Linked DNA regions of Caenorhabditis elegans. The protein of the gene in region 3 purifies or fractionates together with the protein of the main gene of each other region. This does not show direct contact. Each region holds a gene or a part of one and is shown on either strand. Other genes may lie near its edges.

What was found. The genes of interacting proteins can lie anywhere in the genome.
Region 1: the proteins of B0280.9 (region 3) and gstk-2 fractionate together in Caenorhabditis elegans (co-fractionation; one large-scale study listed by BioGRID). This does not show direct contact.
Region 2: the proteins of B0280.9 (region 3) and mppa-1 fractionate together in Caenorhabditis elegans (co-fractionation; one large-scale study listed by BioGRID). This does not show direct contact.

What each region holds. Positions count from the first base shown.
Region 1 is NC_003282.8:7,237,819-7,244,142, forward strand, and holds gstk-2 (Glutathione s-transferase kappa 2), read right to left. Parts: upstream 4,453-6,324; 5' UTR 4,438-4,452; coding exon 4,287-4,437; intron 3,688-4,286; coding exon 3,308-3,687; intron 2,839-3,307; coding exon 2,692-2,838; 3' UTR 2,627-2,691; downstream 1-2,626. Other genes in the region: elo-3 (Putative fatty acid elongase 3), read left to right, coding at 11-130, 880-1,557, 1,965-2,078. UniProt on the Caenorhabditis elegans protein: Has roles in respiratory and lipid metabolism.
Region 2 is NC_003279.8:1,745,930-1,752,905, reverse strand, and holds the start of mppa-1 (Mitochondrial-processing peptidase subunit alpha), read left to right. Parts: upstream 1-1,850; coding exon 1,851-2,171; intron 2,172-4,210; coding exon 4,211-4,619; intron 4,620-6,860; coding exon 6,861-6,976. Other genes in the region: Y71G12B.10 (hydroxymethylglutaryl-CoA lyase), read right to left, coding at 1-302, 1,047-1,259, 1,321-1,413. UniProt on the Caenorhabditis elegans protein: Substrate recognition and binding subunit of the essential mitochondrial processing protease (MPP), which cleaves the mitochondrial sequence off newly imported precursors proteins.
Region 3 is NC_003281.10:7,117,969-7,126,284, forward strand, and holds B0280.9 (U3 small nucleolar RNA-associated protein 18 homolog), read right to left. Parts: upstream 4,928-8,316; 5' UTR 4,924-4,927; coding exon 4,768-4,923; intron 4,663-4,767; coding exon 4,587-4,662; intron 4,541-4,586; coding exon 4,332-4,540; intron 4,284-4,331; coding exon 4,103-4,283; intron 4,052-4,102; coding exon 3,951-4,051; intron 3,894-3,950; coding exon 3,800-3,893; intron 3,753-3,799; coding exon 3,620-3,752; intron 3,382-3,619; coding exon 3,042-3,381; 3' UTR 2,937-3,041; downstream 1-2,936. Other genes in the region: rpia-1 (Probable-ribose 5-phosphate isomerase), read left to right, coding at 5,217-5,276, 5,324-5,476, 5,524-5,766, 5,891-6,190; B0280.2 (uncharacterized protein), read left to right, coding at 6,719-6,799, 6,886-6,978, 7,202-7,293, 7,339-7,472, 7,866-8,053, 8,119-8,265. UniProt on the Caenorhabditis elegans protein: Involved in nucleolar processing of pre-18S ribosomal RNA.

The sequences.
Region 1 (6,324 bases), on a different chromosome or scaffold from region 3:
ATATTTTCAGTTCCTTCCCTTTGAGACATCTTTTGATGCATTTCGATCGACAACATGGATGCAAAATCACTGGTATCAATCAATTACAGCATCTGTCGTGTATGTAGCCGTCATTTTTACAGGAAAGAAGGTTTGTGTATACGCTTTTTTGATAGTTGCAGAAAAATTAGTTATAGTTAAACTGATAAGAGTTTTAGCTAGGTGAGACGCTAGAAAAGTGACATGATAATGACAGAAAATGATGCTCCAAAAACAGTGAAACATAGGAAGTCACACCATATTTCCTGGAAATGTCTGTAGAAAATTATGTGTAGAAAAACAGTCGAAAACTACAATAGTGGTTAAAGAGAGAGTATTGACACTTCTCAAAAAAAAAAAAGAATTTTTATGGCGTGTCAATTTCCGAAAAAGAGGCGCATTTTTCTAAAATCTGAAATGTGCTAAAAGAAACTAGTTAACGCGAGAATAATTACCAAAATATTCAATAAAAGTTATTACATCAATAAAAAACTGTTTCCCAGCTGCAGCGACAAGAAAAAGCTGGCAAAATTTCAAATTTTGGACTTTTTCGGAATTTTTGTCATAAAAATTTTTAGAATTTTTTTTGAGAAGTCTCATCATGAATTCGGTAGTTTCTAACCAGTTTTTACTATAGAAAACACAACCTCTACTCCCAAAAACTGTGAATTCCGTTTCAGAAGCCTCCTAGGTGCGTTACATATTTTAAAGCATAACCGAAAATATATCGACATTAAAGTAATTGCTTAGCAGGTGGTTCTCATCTACAAAAAATCACGAGTTATTACTTTTGAGTCTAGCCTTCAGAATGCAATTAAGAATCGAAACCGAAAATCACTTAATAGTTCTCAAATGTTTCAGATTATGGAAAAGTACAAGCCCTTCCAACTGGACACACCACTCTTCGTCTGGAATTCATTTTTAGCCATTTTCTCAATTCTCGGGTTCCTCCGAATGACACCTGAATTTGTATGGAGTTGGTCAGCAGAAGGAAACTCATTCAAATATTCAATTTGTCATTCATCTTATGCTCAAGGAGTCACTGGTTTCTGGACTGAACAATTCGCAATGAGCAAACTTTTCGAGCTCATCGACACAATCTTCATCGTTCTTCGTAAACGTCCACTCATCTTCCTTCACTGGTATCATCATGTAACTGTTATGATCTACACATGGCACGCGTACAAGGATCACACTGCATCAGGACGGTGGTTCATTTGGATGAATTATGGAGTTCATGCTCTTATGTATTCCTACTATGCTCTTCGTTCTCTGAAATTCCGTCTTCCAAAACAAATGGCAATGGTTGTTACTACTCTCCAACTTGCTCAAATGGTTATGGGAGTAATCATCGGAGTCACTGTCTACCGTATCAAGTCATCGGGTGAATACTGCCAACAGACATGGGACAATTTGGGATTATGCTTTGGAGTTTATTTCACATATTTCCTTCTTTTCGCCAACTTCTTCTACCATGCATATGTTAAGAAAAACAACCGTTATACCGAAGTTAAGAAAGATAAGAAGGAAAAGGAAGAGGTGAGCATCTTTTAGGTACAGTAAATTATGAAAATAATTCAAAAAATTTCCCCGATCTCGTTTTAATTTACCTGAGAAAAAAGGTTTCAAGAAAATCGAAAAATCGGCAATGTTCAGAAAATAATTATAAAATTCAATTTTCATCAAATTTTGTTAATGTTGATGGAAAAAAACATAAGAAAACATATGAACTTATTCTTCCAAGAAGAAAAATGACCACAATTTTAACTTTTCTATTTGGAAAAAATCGAATTTTTTCGAAATATCAGAAAAATCGAAAAAACATTTCGATTGTTAGATTTCAGTAAAAAATGGAAAACCCGTTACCCTTGCTGGGAAACTTGGAAAATTCTGACTTATGAGCATATTTTTAAAAAATCTTTGGAAAAAAATAATTCGTTTTTCAGCCTGTTGATTTCGAAATTCTGGAGCCAAAAGAAGATATCAATGCTAACATCGCTGAGCCATCCATCACAACGAGGTCCGCCGCCGCACGAAGAAAAGTTCAAAAAGCTGATTAGAAAATATCAGATTGTTATTTGTTCTCTATTACCGGTACAGAGAGTGTAGATAGTTAGAGAGTGACAGACATCCGGGACCTAATGGGGCGGGGCGCGCGGAAGAGACGATTTGTGTCGATTTACGAAATAATGACAACGAGGAAAATTTCGTAAATCGACACAAATCGTCTCTTCCGCGCGCCCCGCCCCATTGGGTCCCGGATGTCTGTCACTCTCTAACTATCTACACTCTCTGTACCGGTAATATTATTTTTCGTTTCTTGAAATTTCTCTTTTACTTTTTATCAAACCTTTACGCTTTCCCTTATTTATATTCGGCTAATCATCAGAGGCCACGCAAAACTAACACATACTCAGATCTCTCACCCTTCGTCCCCCCAACCAACCCCAAGTTTTCGTTAGCTTATGCTCTTTCTTTTTTGCTCCGTTTTTTTTCTGTAATTGCCGCAACAAATTGAAACTCGTGTGAAATAGATTAGTAGTCTTTTTGTTTCCACATTTTTTCCATCGTTTTCTGTATTTCTCTTGCCAACACAAAAGAAAGAATTAATTTTAATCGTTATTCTTTCTCAGATAAAATTCTAGACACTTTTTAGAATGCTAATCTGACAATTTATGCGTTCGGCTTCTTCTCTCTCATTGGACCCTTGAATGGCTCGGCAAGAAAATCGGCCACCTGTGGAAGGCGATCCGATCCGAAAACTGTTTGAAGTACTTTTCCGTGACCATCAGTGATATGCATCCACGGAGCTCCGAAACACTGAAAAAAATTAATTTTAATTCCCAATTGAGAATATTATAAAACAGCAAAAAAACATTTTAAAACGACGCGCAAGCGCGCTCCGGGGCCAACTGAAAATGCTCCGCCCCTAAACCATGGGTCTCGTTAGGAATTTTGCGTTCGTCGTCTATTTTGTTATATTTTTCGTAGTTTTTGATGTTTTTTCGGTTGAAATAGATGAAATAAAATTATTATGATAAGTGAAAACGCCCTAAATTCACATAATTTTCTTAGACATCATTTCGATGTTGAAATCATTAAACACTTCGAAAAATATAACAGAAAGACTAATTCTAGAAAATTGTCGAGCCTAATCAAAAACGTTCAAGTTTAACGGAAAATACCTAACGAGACCCATCGTTAGGGGGCGGACCGTTTTAAATTGGTTGTGGAGCGTGTTTTCTCGTCGATTCCGTGTTTTTCTGGGTTCCTATAATAAATGACCTACTCCATTCCCGATGGCTTCATCTGTGTTTTCTCTTAAAATGTTCTTAACTTCTGCCGAATCACTCATCATCACCAACTCATCGACATCTTTTACATGCAAATCTCTCAAAACTTCGGCAACTTGACTTTTTGTGAAAATTGGTTTTCCGTATGCATAAAATCGATGCCAGAGTCCACGAGCAACGTCTTCCATCAAAACATTATCACGGAGTTGTGAAGCGACAAGAATACGTTGTGGAACGATTGAACTTGTGTTCAACATCATATTTGTGTAGTCCTTGGGAAGACGGAACGGAATTCCCCAATATTGGGCAGAGAAGAGCAAATCTTTGTGCATGTACTTTTCTTTGATAGGAATACGGAGTGGGAGACCGGGGTTTTCTGAAAACTTGCAGTTATATGATTTAGAAGGTACATATCAAACAACTTTCTGATGATTAGCACGATTCGAAAAAAATTTTCAAAACAATTATGTTATTTATCAATGCTCCTATACTTATAAAATTACCAAATATCACTTTTCCAAATGTCTCGAAATTGCTTTCAAATAGTCCTTTTAGGGACATTTGGCAACTTATCAAAACGTTCACTGATCATTTTGAAAAATCCTGAAATTTTTGGATTGTCTTATTATGTTAATATATGTCATGTTCAACTATTATAATGTTGAACTATTGTTGAACTATTTAAGTGTATTTATCTATTCTAGTGCCCTTCGTCAGATTAAAGCAGATTTTAAGAAGTAGAAGTAGCCGACCTTATGATATAAATAGATAGAGGTGCATTTTTTAGAAAATAATAACATACAGGCTTCTTAAGGTTTTGCATGTCCTTTTCCAGAAGTAAATTGAAAGCTTTTATTTTGACATTTCAAACGGAATTGTTAGAGGGTCATGGTTTAAAAACCTTACTTTAAAAAAGCTAATTCCATTTTTTTACGGATATTAGAGAAATTTCAAGACAAAAATACAAAAACTCACCAGTATGTCTGACAACACCAGCAAAAAAGAATGGTTTCATCTGAATTGGAGTCTTCCAAACGGAACGATGACGAGTGATTCCTTCGAATCCAAAGTAACTGTACGGAGAAATGACATCGAAGAAGAATTTGACCACTTTTCGGTTCGGCATTTTGAAACTTGAAGTCTGCAAAATTCATGAAAATTCAGCAATTATTTTAAAATTTTTCGACAAAAAAGCGAAAAAAAAACAGAAGCTTATGATTTTTCTAAACCTTAATGAGCTCCAGTACTAAAACAACTTGAACTACTTCGGGACGCTTTTAAGATTTCTGAAAATTCTTATTTTGTAGAAAAGTTTTTTTTAAAATAATTAGGCACGAAAAAAAAAAACAGCCGAATCACGTTGGCCAGACAATAATGATAGAGTTGAGAAGAAAGAAAAGATATTTGTGTAAACATCAAGGGAGGTACCAATGAGTTGATAGGAGCACAGACACGTGGTAGAGCAATTGGAGCATCAGCGGACAAAAAACAGAAAAAAAACAGTTGGTCTCAAGTCTAGTGAACAAAGTGTAGAATTGTTTGCAAATGACCACGATAAAAATAGATTTTGTTTGGAAAAAAACTTGGGTACTCTAAATATTTGATTTCTATTTTTCCTAACCGCACGTGATAACCAGATGTGCGATTTTTGAGCATTTAGTTGTTTTGGATAAAAGATATGAAAATATACAATGAACAATATTTTCAGGAAAGAAGTTTGGTTAAATGCTTTATGACTATTCCAAATACGCACAAAAATACCTGCCATTTCTTAATTGAACTTTTAACAAAACAATTTAAATGATAAAGGGAGATAAACGTAAATTTATCATGTGTGTACACCACCCAGCTCATTTTATGTTAGAATGTAGAATCGAGGGGCTAAGAAGGCACGCAGGCAGGCAGGTATATGACATACACGAACAAATGAGAAAAAATAAAATTGTAGCCAGTGTAAAAATGATCCGATCTTTTCACCGTTCAATAAAAACATAAAGGGCTGAAATAGAAACGGATGAAAACAACATTTTGTGTTTTTGAAATTCAGTTCTTAGAAGGAGATCACGTGACTCGAGGTGAGTGAAAAGAAATAAAGTGCAAACGGGTGAAAAAGAGGGAACAGAATTGTGTTGTTTGTTGGAGGTTAAATATGTACTTTGGGTTGTGGAATTGGGATTTCATAAAGTTCACGTTTCGGAGAAAAAAAAAAGAAAATGAAATAGAAAATAATCCGATTGGAATAATTTGTTCCGAAAATGTTCCGGCTTTTGGAAAAAACAACTGGAATATATTGTTTTTAAATTTAATTGGAAAACTTTTACATTTTATGATAAGTTTTCCAATTAAACTATATCTGAAAAGTTTAAAAAACAATAATGATGTGAAAACTAACAGTTCAGATCTAGAACTCATTTTTGTTTTCTTCTTATCGAATTCTCTGCCTTCCACTCGCAAATGTTTGCCACATTCTTGACTTTTGGTTCATAAAGAGTGCAAATTGTTTCAAAGTTTGAAGAAATAAATATTTTTAGTATCATTTATTTGGGTTTTGCATTAAGTTGATCTTACTGGCCCAACAAGGAAATTCAATTTAAAAAAATTGGCTATGAAATTTGAATCAACAATTGAGAAGTCCAAAAATAAGCAAAAATAAATAAGCAAAATTAAGTAAAAAAAAGTAAAAAAAAGGAATTTGTCATCGCGGTGATTCAAATTTAAATTTTTTACATGCCTTTTGTTATAAAAGTGTAAAGAAATAGAACAAATTGAAAGAATCTAGTTGAATGCTCGTATTGAAGTAAATAAATAAATAAATAAAATGCTCGTGACTGTTTCTCTTTCCGTGATATATACACCTTTAAAATAAGAGCGTAATAAGTATATTTTTTGAAGCCAAGGAAAAAAAGTTGAAAAAAGTGCCTACCAACTCAACCTTCAAAACTGAAAATTCACTGCCTGGTAGAAACAACACCAAACAACAAAATGATCGGTATCAATTCTCGTAGGTGTCTTA
Region 2 (6,976 bases), on a different chromosome or scaffold from region 3:
TTCGACACAGTTTTCACTGTTCCAACGCCAATAGTGTCGCCCAGCGAGACCTCATAACACCCAGATTCTAGAAGCTTCTCGGCGACTCTGGCCACCATTTCCGGCTGTACAGCTCCCTGATACGGGCATCCAACGACGACTGAAACGTAGCCACGTACTCGAATATTGTTCTCGAGGGCGATTTTTGTGACTTCCATGAGCTTTTTCAGACTATCTTCCACATTGGAATTCACATTTTTCAGTGAAAACGCGTCTGAAGCTGCTCCAAATACGGCAATCTCTTCGACGACTCCTGTTGCGAGCTGGAAACTTGAGAAATTTGCAATTTTAAAGGTGGAGTAGCGCTAGTGGGGAAATTGCTTTAAAACATGCCTATGGTACCACAATGACCGAATATCATGATTAAAAATTTTTAAAAAAATTTCAAAATTTTATATGATTTTTTGAAAATTGAAAAAATCTCAGTTTTTGCCTAATTCCTATTTGAATTTCCGCCAATTGGATTTGTTCGATGGAGCGCGCTTGCACGTTTTTAAATTTATTTATTTTATTTTTTGTTATTTTCCACCGATTTTTAATGTTTTCAGTGTATTTTTGCTCGAATTTTAGAGAAAAAGCCAAGATAAATTCAAATTTTCGATTAAAAAGCACGCTGACAGGCGTAAATCAGTGAAATTAATTAATTCAGGTTCGAAATCATTTAAAAGCGTTACTTTGTCATTTTTACGCCTGTCAGCGTGCTTTTTAATCGAAAATTTGCATTTATCTTGGCTTTTTCTCTAAAATTCGAGCAAAAATACACCGAAAACATTAAAAATTGGTGGAAAATAACAAAAATAAATAAATTTAAAAACGTGCAAGCGCGCTCCATCGAACAAATCCAATTGGCGGAAATTCAAATAGGAATTAGGCAAAAACTGAGATTTTTTCAATTTTCAAAAAATCATATAAAATTTAGAAAAATTTTTTGAATTTTTTTACTATGATATTCGGTCATCCCCACTAGCGCTACTCCACCTTTAAGCCCTAAAAAATCAATAAAATACCGCGTTTTTGAGGCCAGCGGCGTTTGGAACCAGAACCGGGTAGGAGACACCTTCAAATCTCCGATGTTTCTTGACAATTTCGTTGTGATCAGCCAACTGGGGCACCCATTTCGGTGAGACGAAGCTTGTCGTCTCTACCGTTTGAAATCCGCACTCTGAGAGCCGATCGATGAGCTCGACCTTGATTTCGGTGGGAACGAACTTCTTTTCGGCCTGAAATTAAGAAAATAATGGATTTTTTGCAATTATTTTGCAATTTTCCAGGATAAATTACCTGTAAACCGTCTCGCGCGCCAACTTCCACCACACGAAATCGATTTATTGCTGTGGAGTAGGCACGGTTGGCCAGTAGGCGATTGGGCAGCATTTTTTAGCGCGCCTAAAAATATAAAAATAAGGTTTTCTCCATAAACATTAAAATTCGAGCGGTAAAGCAGAAGAAAACATATGAATTGCTCCTAAAAACTGATGGAAACAATGAGAAACTAAAAGAAAAAAATTATTGAGATTTTTCGATATTTTCTGCGGTTTTTTACTGTAAAGTATCAATATTTATCGTTTAAACAATAAAAATCAATAAAAATCCAATAATTTCAGCTAAAAATCAAAGAAAAATCAAAGAAAAACATAAAAAATAGATAAAAAATAAATAATTTTTATTCGAATCCCAAAAGTCCGCAAACACCGCACACCACATTTGACGACAAATTGCACACATTTATTTATTTAATCATTTTTTATTTATTTTTCTCGATTTTTTCAGTTTTTTACTCGAAATTTATCAAAAATACATTAAATTTTCAGATGCTCCTTCGGAAAAGCATCCCCTACATCAAAATATGCCGAGATATAAGCGCTTCCGTCCGAAATAACAAGGAAATTGCGCAGAAACTCCCGCTCTCCGTGCCTCTGCCAATGGAAAACAACTCCAAATCAATAGAAAAAGGATGCCCGCCAATGGGAAGAAACTCGAGGGTTACTAGACTTCCGAACGGCCTGAAAGTTTGCACAGAAGACACTTACGGCGATTTTGTGACTGTTGGCGTCGCGATTGAGAGCGGCTGCCGCTATGAAAATGGTTTTCCGTTTGGAATTTCGAGAATTGTGGAGAAACTTGCTTATAATGTAGGCTTTTGATAGGAAAAATTATGGAAAATTGGAAAAATTAGAGAAAAATATGATGCAAATCGGGAAAAAATGACGAAATTTGAGTTTTCTCGGGCCAGTTTCGGATTAATTTTTACCCGTTCTCCAAAAACCAATAAAACTCAAAAAATACGTTAAAAAACAAACTTAAAACAGAAATTTGCAACAAAAATTTAAAAAAAAACAGGAATTTCTACTGAAAAAGCTAAATTTTCAAAAAAATAACTTTTTAAAAACTTGGTTGAGTACCAAAATCTGTGGAAATATTTTTAATTGACTCCAAATTTTCCCCTGATTCCGAATATCAATGTGAAAAAATTCAAAAAAATTTCCCTGATTTTATATTTAAGCTTGAAATCGCCGAATTTCATTTGTACCTCGGAAACACTTTTTTTAAATTCGCGCCCAAAAATATTCGCATTGGAGCGCGCTTTGATTGTCTTCATTTAAATAATTTATTTATTTTTCGCCGAGTTCAGTTTTTTTAAAAACCAGTTTCATTAATTTTTGTCGAAAAATATTTTTTCTTAGAAAAACCGATACAGATTCGACAAAAATTAATGAAACTGGTTTTTAAAAAAACTGAACTCGGCGAAAAATGAAGAAAATATTCAAATGAAGAAAATCAAAGCGCGCTCCATGCGAATATTTTTGGGCGCGAATTTAAAAAAGTGTTTTCGAAGTACAAATGAAATTCGGCGATTTCAAGCTTCAATATAAAATCAGGGGAATTTTTTTGAATTTTAATTTTTTTCACATAGATATTCGGAATCAGGGGAAAATTTGGAGTAAATTAAAAATATTTCCACAGATTTCGCTACTCAACCAAGTTTTTTAAAAGTTATTTTTTTGGAAAATTTAGTTTTTTCAGTAGAAATTCCTATTTTTTTCTAAAATTTTTGTTGCAAATTTCTGTTTTTGAAGTTTAATTTTTTGAAAAGAAAATTTTGAATTTCTACGCATTTTTTGGGTGTTTTTGTTTTTTGGAGAACGGGGGTAAAAATTAATCCAAAAATGACCCGAGAAAACTCAAGTTTTGTAATTTTTTCGAAAAAAAAACCCTACAGAGCCAAATTTGCCCCCACAAACCAAAAATTTCCAATAAAAAACTAATTTTTCACAAAAATAAATAAATATATATATATATATATCCATGAGAAAATATCTGAAAATACGGAAAAATTGAAATGTTTCAAAAAAAAACCCTTACAATTAAGAAATTCTTGAAACATATATAGTCGGGTTACTGTAGTAGTACAATAGTGGTACGGTAGGAGTACTGTAGGGTTACGGTAGTTTAGGAAAAATTCGTTATATACATAATATATATACATACTATATATCCAGTATACATAGTATATATCATATATATATAGTTTCAAGAATAACTTAAAGGTGGACTAACGGATAAAATTTTTTATGGCGGTTCAAAATTTCGAAAAAATTACACTGATTTTAGCTAAAATCTCGAATTTTGCCTATTTTTCGGTGTCACATCAGTCCGAAGTTGACTTTTTCGGAATTATCATCCTTTATTGCATATATTGGTAGTTTATCTCATTTAATTTTGTTGATTAAGGTACATTTAAAGCCGATAGGTGACCAAAAATCGTCGAAATTGGTTACCGATCGGCTTTAATTGTACCTTAATCAACAAAATTAAATGAGATAAACTACCAATATATGCAATAAAGGATGATAATTCCGAAAAAGTCAACTTCGGACCGATGTGACACCGAAAAATAGGCAAAATTCGAGATTTTAGCTAAAATCAGTGTAATTTTTTCGAAATTTTGAACCGCCATAAAAAATTTTTGAAAAATTTTTGAGCAGTTTCATCACGAAATTCGTTCATTTGAGAACATTTTGGGTCTATACGTTCAAAATCGTCCGAACCGTTAGTCCTCCTTTAATTGTAAGGTTTTTTTTAATTTTAAAAATTTCCAAAATAGTTTTTTTTTGAAACTCGAAAATTTGTTAAAACTAATTTTTCCCAAAAAAAATTGCAAAATTTCCAGTCATCGGAATCGTTCTCAAGCCGCGACGAAGTCTTTGCAAAACTCGAGGAAAACAGTGGAATTGTGGATTGTCAGAGTACACGTGACACAATGATGTACGCGGCGAGCTGCCATCGTGACGGAGTGGATTCTGTAATTCACGTACTATCCGACACTATTTGGAAGCCAATTTTTGACGAACAAAGTCTCGAACAGGCGAAACTAACAGTTTCCTACGAGAATCAAGATCTACCGAATCGAATTGAAGCCATCGAAATTCTCCTTACTGACTGGATTCATCAAGCGGCTTTTCAGAATAATACTATAGGATATCCGAAATTTGGCAACAATTCGATGGATAAAATTCGAGTTTCTGATGTTTATGGGTTTTTGAGCAGAGCTCATACTCCTCAAAGAATGGTTGTTGGAGGTAATTGTGTTGTACTTCACGAGGAGAGGTTTCGATTTTTTTTTGTTGAAAAATCGCAAAAAAAATGTACAAAAAAAACCGTTGAAAATTAGAGAAAATATGGAAAAATTGAGCTTTTTCAAAAAAAAAACCTTTTCGGAAAATTTTATAATTAAAAAATTCTTACAGTACCTTACAAGTACTGTAAAAACCTTAAAGTTACAGTACTTGACTTACAGTAATCCTACAGTACCCCGACCATATCCCTCCACTAACCAAAAAACAAAACCGCTTCAAAAGACAAAAAATCAACTTTTTCCAAAACTACAATAATCCTACAGTACTCCTACAGTACCCCCACCATATCCCTCCACTGAACCCAAGCCAAAATCCATTCAAAAGACGAAAAGTCTTTTTTTCCAAAACTACAGTAATTCTACAGTACCTTTACAGTACTACCACAGTACCCCGACCATATCCCTACACTGAACCGAAACCAATATCTCTTCAAAAGACAAAAAATCAATTTTTCCAAAGCTACTCCTACAGTACCTCTACGTTACCCCTACAGTACCCCGACCATATTCCCCGACTAACCGGAAAGCTATATCCCTCCAAAAGAGAAAAATCAATTTTTTCCAAAACTACAGTAATCCTACAGTACTCTTATAGTAGCTCTACAGTACCTCTACAGTACTACTACAGTACTACTACAGTACCCCGACCTTATCCCCCGACTAACCGGAAACCCATATCCCTCCAAAAGAGAAAAATCAATTTTTTTCCAAAACTACAGTAATCCTACAGTACTCTTATAGTAGCTCTACAGTACCCCTACAGTGCCCCGACGATATCCCTCTACCGAACCAAAAAACAAAACCGCTTCAGAAGACAAAAAATCTTCTTTTTTTTCCAAAACTACAGTAATCCTACAGTACTACTACAGTACCCCGACCTTATCCCCCGACCAACCGGAAACCCATATCCCTCCAAAAGAGAAAAATCAATTTTTTTTTCCAAAACTACAGTAATCCTACAGTACTCCTACAGTACCCCTACAGGTCCCCTACAGTACCCCTACAGTACCCCGACCATATCCCTACACCAACCAAAATACAAAACCTCTTCAGAAGACAAAAAACCATTTTTTTTTCCAAAACTACAGTAATCCTACAGTACCTCTACAGTACTACTACAGTACCCCGACCTTATCCCCCGACCAACCGGAAACCCATATCCCTCCAAAAGAGAAAAATCAATTTTTTTTTCCAAAACTACAGTAATCCTACAGTACTCCTACAGTACCCCTACAGGTCCCCTACAGTACCCCTACAGTACCCCGACCATATCCCTACACCAACCAAAATACAAAACCTCTTCAGAAGACAAAAAATCATTTTTTTTTCCAAAACTACAGTAATCCTACAGTACCTCTACAGTACCCCGACCTTATCCCCCGACTAACCGGAAACCCATATCCCTCCAAAAGAGAAAAATCAATTTTTTTTTCCAAAACTACAGTAATCCTACAGTACTCCTACAGTACCCCTACAGGTCCCCTACAGTACCCCTACAGTACCCCGACCATATCCCTACACCAACCAAAATACAAAACCTCTTCAGAAGACAAAAAATCATTTTTTTTTCCAAAACTACAGTAATCCTACAGTACCTCTACAGTACCCCGACCTTATCCCCCGACTAACCGGAAACCCATATCCCTCCAAAAGAGAAAAATCAATTTTTTTCCAAAACTACAGTAATCCTACAGTACTCCTACAGTACCCCGACCATATCCCTCCACTGAACAGAAACTAATATCTCTTCAAAAGACAAAAAATCATTTTTTTTTTTCCAAAACTACAGTAATCCTACAGTACTCCTATAGTAGCTCTACAGTACCCCTACAGTGTCCCGACCATATCCCTCTACCGAATCAAAAAACAAAACCGCTTCAGAAGACAAAAAATCAATTTTTTCCGAAACTACAGTAATCCTACAGTACTGTAAGTGTAAGTACAGTAAAATATCGAAAAAATATGGAAAAATTGAACTTTAAACCTCTGAAAATTTTCCGATTTGTTTCAATTTTAAAAAAGTAGTATACAGTTAGAAAAACTGTTATAATTTTTAATTTTTTTGAAAAACGTCTTAATTTTCTGTTTAAAACTCGAAAAAAACTTGAAAAAAAAAACTAGATTTTCAGAAAAAAAAAATTAAAAATTCTTTTTTGCAATATTAATTTCAATGTTCTCTTGCCAGGAGTCGGCGTCGGCCACGACGAATTCGTTTCCATCATTTCTCGTCACTTTGACCTCAACAAATCCACGTGGACTACACAACCGACAGTACTTCCCGCCAAAATCCCGGAAATTGAC
Region 3 (8,316 bases):
TTCAACATCGCTTCAATAAAAATATCTAACAAAACAAAAATTTGTAAAATATAATATTCATGAAAACGAGTGAATAAGAAACATGATATCTGGGCGAATATGTCTTAGAAACGACCAAAAATCGCTCCGAAAAAGGAAATAATAGGGTACTTGTGTATTACATGCCTTCATTTTAATTTTCATTAATTTCTCCAATTAAAATAAACGTGATAAACATTTTTCCTCTTCAGGCTTAGAAAAGGATATTTCCTAAGCCTAGAAATACAAAAATGTGGTACACGTTTTTATTGTTTTTAACTTTAAAAATTACTCAAAAAATGAGGGCATGTAATACACAAGTACCAATAATAGTATCTAAATAGACGAAGAGTTGCTCAAAAAGTTGAATCTGATTTCAAACAGATACCTCCCAAAAGATCAGAAATCCAGATATTACAGCATTGCTCTTTTAATCCTGTTAGAATTGAATGCGCGTTTGTGTCTACACCGAGACAAAAATAAAACTAAAATATCTTGTAGATACCTGAATCAAAGTAGAAACACAAAGAGACTCACTGAAATATCAAGGAAAAAAAGAGAGAAGCCAGACATTTCTCTCTGATTCTTTGGAACTTGCAGTCTTAATGAACTCTTATGATCGCTGAACTTTTCTAACGAGCTAATCTTTGGTTGAATGAGCATTTATTTTCATCTGACGTTGAACACATGAGTCAGAAGTACGGCTTTTTGTGCACTACAATTTAATAAATGACTTGACGTCTTACCTTGACGAATATTTTAAACAATTAATTAAATTTGGTCCTATGCGAAAAGTCAACATGCTCCAAATATACACAGGAGAAAGAGCTCCACGTAGGCTCAAAAATGTTAATTGCTCACTGGATGGCTCACACCTTCCCTATTTCTATACACACCTGAAAATGTTTCATTAGTTGACGTTTCAACTTGAAACTTTAATGAAATACATAAAGATATGCTTCTATTGGATTTTAACCAAGGAATAAATGCAGTATACTCTCTCTCCTTATAGTTAAACAAACAAATACTTGTAGCCACCTGTCATTAAAAAGATACAATCTCCGAAGTCAGAATTTTTATAAAAAACTATAAAATTGATTGATAGAATGTAGGTTGCATCTTAAAAACTGTTTTCTATGTCTAAGAATTTGTGTTTTGTGTATGTAAAGATACTATCGGTTGTGATCAAAAATTGATTTCAATTGGATATATTAATAACATTTTTCCAGATATTTGCGTTCAAAAAACATAAAATTTGAAAAGGCTCTGACTATACCACTTCGGAATATAAATTAAATAAAAATGTCGTATCATTTTTTCGCCCACTTATCTTATTCAAATCCGACGATATCCAGCTCAACACTCAAGTTAAAGATCAAGACGAGTCACATTTGTTGAGGAGTAAATATAGAAGATTCATGAATTATAACTCGTCGCAATGATAATATTCAGGTGGAATCAGAGAAAGATTTCCAAAAATGATATTACTTCTTACTTAGTTAGTCAAAGACTTGTGATACAATCGAAAATTGGAAAATGAATAAAAGTTACACATGTCTTGTAACTAGTTTTTGTGCCTGCCTGTCGACTTTATAAACTCTATACATTAGAAAATAAATAATTTTAATCTCTAGTTCCTAAATCCAAAACATTGACATCTTAATTGATATTTTAAATTGAGTCTTTAATAAATTTTTTAACTGACTTATAGAAAGAACATATTTTTCATGATAATTGTTAGTTTTGTGATATCGTCGTATTACTAGAGGAAGTGGACTTTACAATGATAATAATCAGGCGGGCATTACATCAACATTTGGCTTTATACGTAGCTTCTATTCGAAAAACAATTATCGTGTGGAAGCTGAAATCTGGAGAAGGTACTTTGAAGGCACGTGTATTTTGATTTCAGTTTTTCCGTCGTTATGTACAGGCGCCAAAAAATTTGTGGAACTGAGTTTATAAAAGCAACAATCTTCTGAGTGCCAAGTTTCAATACTGAGGACATAATTTCACGAAATTTCTTTCCGTCATCAGTTTAAAGACACACACTGTTTTTTGAGTGGGTCTCGCCACGATCTCAGTCATAATGACCGTTACATTTTTTACAGATTTGTTAATTCGATGTAGTTTTAAACAGTTGATTTTATCTGAAAATGGTAATATATCGTATATTCTCTTTCAGTGCTGCACCCACATAGCTCAACTTGCATATATCTCGAAGGTTTTGGGTGATTTTGTACATTTCAAAAACATTAGGCATAGAAAAAGATTTAATAAGCATTTTAGCTAAAGTTTTTTGGCTGAAATCAAGAGATGACCGAGATATGAGATGTCAAAGTTGAACAATGGGGATGCCGCACTAATAGAGAATAAACGGTAACTTTTTTTAATCTTCAAAAAAAATAATTAAAAAATGGCCAAATTGACAGATCGGAAAAGTTATAATTGTAGGTTTTTCGATAAGAAATCTGAATTCGTTTTCCTCTCAATCAAATAATCAACGATCACAATTCTAGAATTAAGACATCAAAACACAATAAAATCGGGTGACAAGTAGGTCGGTAAGAGACCATTGGTTATTGTGCTCCAGTGAAAAATCTGCCGAAAAACGGACTTTGGAGAAACAAATTAAACTTTTCTTGTTCCTCTTATACTAATTCTACCAGACTTCACGTGAAAAACTGACATTCATTGTTAATTTTTCGTCATTTTCGATCGTTCGTTGTGTTGTTCAACCCTTTTCTAACTGGCGACTATTGAGACAATTCTATGTCACTATAGTGTACAAAGAACGATCAAGTCATTTTTCGGTACAGACTAGGACTACGTTCAACTGTTTTTGAATTTTTTGTGCAAACGTCGGTTTGTATTTTTAAATCTTCCAGTGGTTCAAAAGCTGCTCTGGAAGTTGGAATAAAAACGATAAATTTTCATAACAACAAAAAAACGGATGAAGAATAAAAACAAAACAATTTGGACGAAATCAACGACAAAGAAAAGAATAACAATGTTAGAACCAATTAATAGTCTGTAAAATGATGAATTTCAAAAACATGAAGACGTCCATCATCGTTTCCAACGGCCATATATCCTCCATTTGGAGAAAACTCCACACATCTTGCATGTGTCACTTTTCCGTTTCTTTCCGGGAAGTTTTTGAATGTTGTCTGACTTGCCACGTGGACGAGACGAAGATGATTGTCCTTGACATTTGAACAAATTGCCATCAATTGAGCATCAGAATTGAAAGCGATTGATGAGACCGCGGTGACGAGATTAGAAACATTGAAAAGTGGACGAGGATTTGTAGAATTGCGGCAATCATTTCCAGAATAGACATTCACGATTCCGGTATCACTTCTGGAAATTTCAAATTTTCATCATATAATCAGGATGTATGTAAAGACTAGGTCATTTATTTTCACCGGAATTCAACAAAAAAAGATTTTTTTTTTTAAATTTTTGTTGCTAAACTGAAAATATCAACAAAAAAAAAGATGTAGCAAACTGTACAATTATATTAATATATGAATTATATGAATGAATGACAGTATCGTGATTTTACGAATTATAAAAGTTTGATTTTAAAAAAGCTTACCCAGTCGCAAAGTAATCTCCATGTTGGCTGATGGCGAGTGTTGTTCCGTGCACAGCTCCATCGTCGGTGAATGTATGTTGCGATGATTTGGTTCCCGGCAATCCAATGTTTGCGATCACAATTTGGCCGGTCTCTAGAAATTTCGAATAATTTTTGAATTTTTGGCAATATAAAACCAACCGCAGATGATCCAAATTTCACGGCTGTGCGATGGGAAAAACTTGATTTCTGACGCATTTGCTGGGAGTGATATTGTTGTGATATGCTCCATCGACTGAAACATTTTACATTTAAACTTTTAATTTGCCAATAATTTAATTTTTTGACATACAGTAGCATGGAGAACATAGATGTGAGAATTGTGTCCTGCAATTGCCAAAAATTGAGAGTCATGCGAAATGGCAAAGAGCCGAATTCCTTGCTTTGGTACTGCTGTAAAATGTTCAAAGTTTTGCTTCAAATTTTATTAAATATTAAACGTACTGTTTGGAGGTTTCAACTGTGTCACTTCTCTTGTTTCCATATTGTACTGCATCAAATATTCCTTTCGGCTTGAAGAACAGATCACAGAGTGTCCTTTATCAGCAATTTCCAGACTATCAATCGGGAATTTTGAGAAATTCGCACTTTGAAGGAAACGATCCTTTTTAACCTCACGACTTACCTGAAATAAGTAAGGAATGGTTTAATTAAAACAGAAAACACAACTTACTTTAAAAAGTTGAACATTTCCACCTTGATCGGCAACAATGAGCACTGGTCGGGTTTTATGAAATTTAACAACAGTGATTCCACGAGTGTATCGGTGTCCGATGTTGAAATCTTTTATAAGAGTTGTATGAATAGTTGTTTTTGGTAAATTCACGTCTTTCGCCAAATATCCGGCAGCAGTTTTCAACAATGACCCTTCTTCTTCGTCTCCTAAAATTGTAAAATACGATTTTTGAACTATTGATTTTCCAAAAACCTGCAGCAGCCTTAGCCCATTTTGGTGTGCCTCCGTGGCGTTTTCTGAACGCCTCTTGCAATCTACCAACGTATTCCTAAAATATTAAAATTATTTTTCAGAAGTAATTTATCCTTCTGCCTATTTTCAATTATATAATCTTTATTACACGTTGAATAACGTATTTCTAAAAAAAATTTACCTTTGAATCCAATTCTCCATGTTCTTCGTCTGTGGTTCGCTTGAGTTCAACTCGCATTGTCATTTTCACTTTTTTTGGAACCGCCACAACCATATTATCGTCGTCCTCATCGTGCCACGCAGGCTTTTCAGACTCAATCACTGGCCGTTTGCTCATTTCTCTGAAAATTGTTCAAAATAACCTTAATGAAAGATTCAATAAGCTGAAAATTAAAGAAAATTCGGAAAAGAAAAAAGAAAAATGAGAAGCAATTGTCGTCAAATAGTGTGTGTTATCGTAGTTTTAGTGCAAACACCGTCACGTCTCAATGCAGAATTTCATTAATTTCAGTATTTCAGCTGAAAATTTCAGTCTTTCTTATCAATTTACTATTGTTTTCGTTTTCTTTTCAGCATTTTTGTATGTTTTCTACAAAATTTCCATTATCAGGAGTATTGCGAACCGCCAGAATGGTCACCTCCACCGGCCCTGAAGCAGAACTGGCTCCTATTGAGCAGGCGAAGAAACGAGTAAGTCAAAAATTAAGACCAATTCCAACCCTCATTAATCATTTCAGGCTGCGTTTGCCTGCGGTGAAAAATATGTGCAAAGTGGTTGCCGTCTTGGTGTTGGATCCGGAAGCACTGTCAAGTATTTGGTAGAATATCTTAAACAAGGATTTCAGAATGGAAGTCTCAAGGATATCATCTGTGTTCCAACCAGTTTTTTGGTAAACAGATTTTCAACAAACCCAATTGTTATAAATAAGTATTTCAGACAAAACAATGGCTGATTGAGTCTGGTCTCCCTGTCTCCGATTTGGATTCACATCCAGAACTGGATGTGTGTATTGATGGAGCTGATGAAGTTGACGGACAGTTCACGTGCATCAAAGGCGGAGGTGGATGTCTGGCTCAAGAAAAAATTGTTCAAACCGCTGCAAAAAACTTTTACGTGATCGCTGATTATTTAAAAGATTCCAAACACTTGGGTGATCGCTATCCGAATGTCCCAATTGAGGTAAATTATTTAACTTTTTATAATTATCAGTAAAGAAAGATGCACTAAAGAATAAACTTTAGAACAATAGTTTTTTCTAAATAGATGTAGTTATGTTGACTGTTTTTAATGAGATTTATTGCAGGTTCTACCTCTTGCTGCTCAACCACTTCTACGTTCGATTCCACGCGCTGAAGGTGGAAGCTGTCAACTTCGACAAGCTGTCAAAAAGTGCGGACCAATTGTGACAGACAATGGAAACTTCATTATTGATTGGCAGTTCGAGAAAAACGTATCCGGAAGAGATTGGTTCGCGATTCAGCAACGATTGGCCAATACACCAGGAATTGTTGAAACCGGATTATTCATCGGTTGCGTCGACGCAGTATTCTTCGCGTACTCTGACGGATCTGTCAAGGAAATTGTCAATTCCAAGAAGCACTGACTACTTGCATCGAATTTTGTTCATATTGAAAATTAGTTGTTTCTTATCACCACCACACTCTCCAAACTTCACTTTTCCTCTTCCCAGTTGTTGTGAAAATTGTACCCATTCATTCCCAATGTTCCTAGTATACGTGTAGTTCTTAGAATAGCCCCAATAAAAATTGTGTTGAAAAAACGTCTTTCTTAAAAAACTGAAAAAAAAATTAGAAAACTCTGAAAACGTTTTGAAATGTAAAGTGTCTGGATGTAAAGTGTCTGAAACTGTTTAATTTCAAATTACAGTAGTCTTGAAGTGTATGAATGGCGAGGATAGCTTAAAGATTGAAAGAAATGAGAATTTGCTTCCTAAATGACTCATTGGAGGCGGTAAAATTAAGAGCGAGCAATAATTTCAAAAATACTGATAAAGTTGGGAAATAAGTAAATATTTCAAAATTTTTAACAATTGCTGTATTAAAAAGCACTTTCGTCAAATCGTATCATTCGTATTCTATTCATTCCAGATTGTTCAAATTTTAATTTCCAAATGATTACATCTGAATTGAGTGATTTCCTCGAGATCAACGAAAAAAATAGTGTTCTAAGAGGAATATCGGCAAGCGATAAGGTATGATTTTGTGCACTAAGAGATAGGCACGGTCTCTGCTTAAAGACAAATGTAGTTTCAATTCAACTAGCTTGTGCTCATTTCAGATACTTTCATCAGGTATTTGTCAACTTCTTTTTTCTGAAAATGGGCATTGGCGGATACCGAATGGGGGAACCGCTGTGGCATTGTTTTTGAAAGTAAGTACGATAAATTTTAAAAAGATGAACTGTGGTAGAAAGCTGCAAAGATGTTATCATATGAAAACTACTAGAAGAACAAACAATTAATCTAGATTAATTATTTCAAAATGAGAAATGTATACTTTTTTCGAAGTGAGTCGCAGTAGGATTGTTTGCAAAATCCAATTTAGTTTTGCAAAGAAATACTCAAACTCAACAGACGATTAATTCAATTTTTCAGAACAGTACGGAACGATATTACCGGATAATAGTAATGGAACCATCTGCAGATCCAGATTGGGAACCAACAGTTCAATTTGATTTTCTTATTAGGTAATCTTGAATATAATTTAATTTCAACTAACACTATGATTATAGAGACAAAAAGTTTGAAACAATGCAGGAACATGCAAGGTTACTCGTTTTTGAGGCAGAATCCAGATACATTGGATTGAACTTTTACGACTCAAAGGAATGTGAGAACTTTCACAATAGTGTTTGCAAACGACAAAGTGAGTAATTCGATTATTAAACTAGTTGGAAAAATATCGCTTTTTCCATATTTTTATTATGTACAATACTATTTCTTAAATCAATTTTTGAGTTCAATAATAATAGGGTAATGTTTATATTTCCGTCTATCTTTGCTTTTATTACAGAAATAGGTAGAATACGGTAACTTGAGTTCTAATATATGCAAGATAGAACCCTAAATCGGTACTTGTGTATGATAACCCCACATTTGTAAAATTTATCTTTTTAGATTTTGAATGTGACTTTTATATATAGATTCTTAGGCTTACTATTCGAAAATGATATTCACATTTTTAATAAATGGGAAAATACAACAATTACTAATTTATTTTCAAAATATGGGGCTATAATACACAAGCCTTAAATTTCAGCGAGAAGTACCGATAAAGCAAAGCAGCCAGCATTGGAGGGAAAGACGAAGAAGAAAAGTAGTTTCTTTCATGATCCATTCAAATCCCACAGGGAACCAAGAAAACAAGTTGAAATTGAAGCACCAACAGATTTTCGGCATGTTGATGGTGTGAAGTTGACAGATGTACAAGAAGATTTGTATATGCAAGTTAGGAGTAAATTGAATGTATAGTTTTCCAAACCTCTATTGCCAAGACTACGTTGAAATTTCAGGTGAATAATCCAGAAGAAGAGGAAATTGTGAAGCAATTGATTGTAAGAAATGAAGATCATATTAGACAATCATTGATGGTGAAAAAAGAATCTCAAACTGTGAAAGAAGTTAAGGACAAAAATAAGGATAAAGTCAAAACAAGTAAAGTGAATCCGAAAATTGACAAAAGTCGACAAATAAGACTCGAAAACATTGTT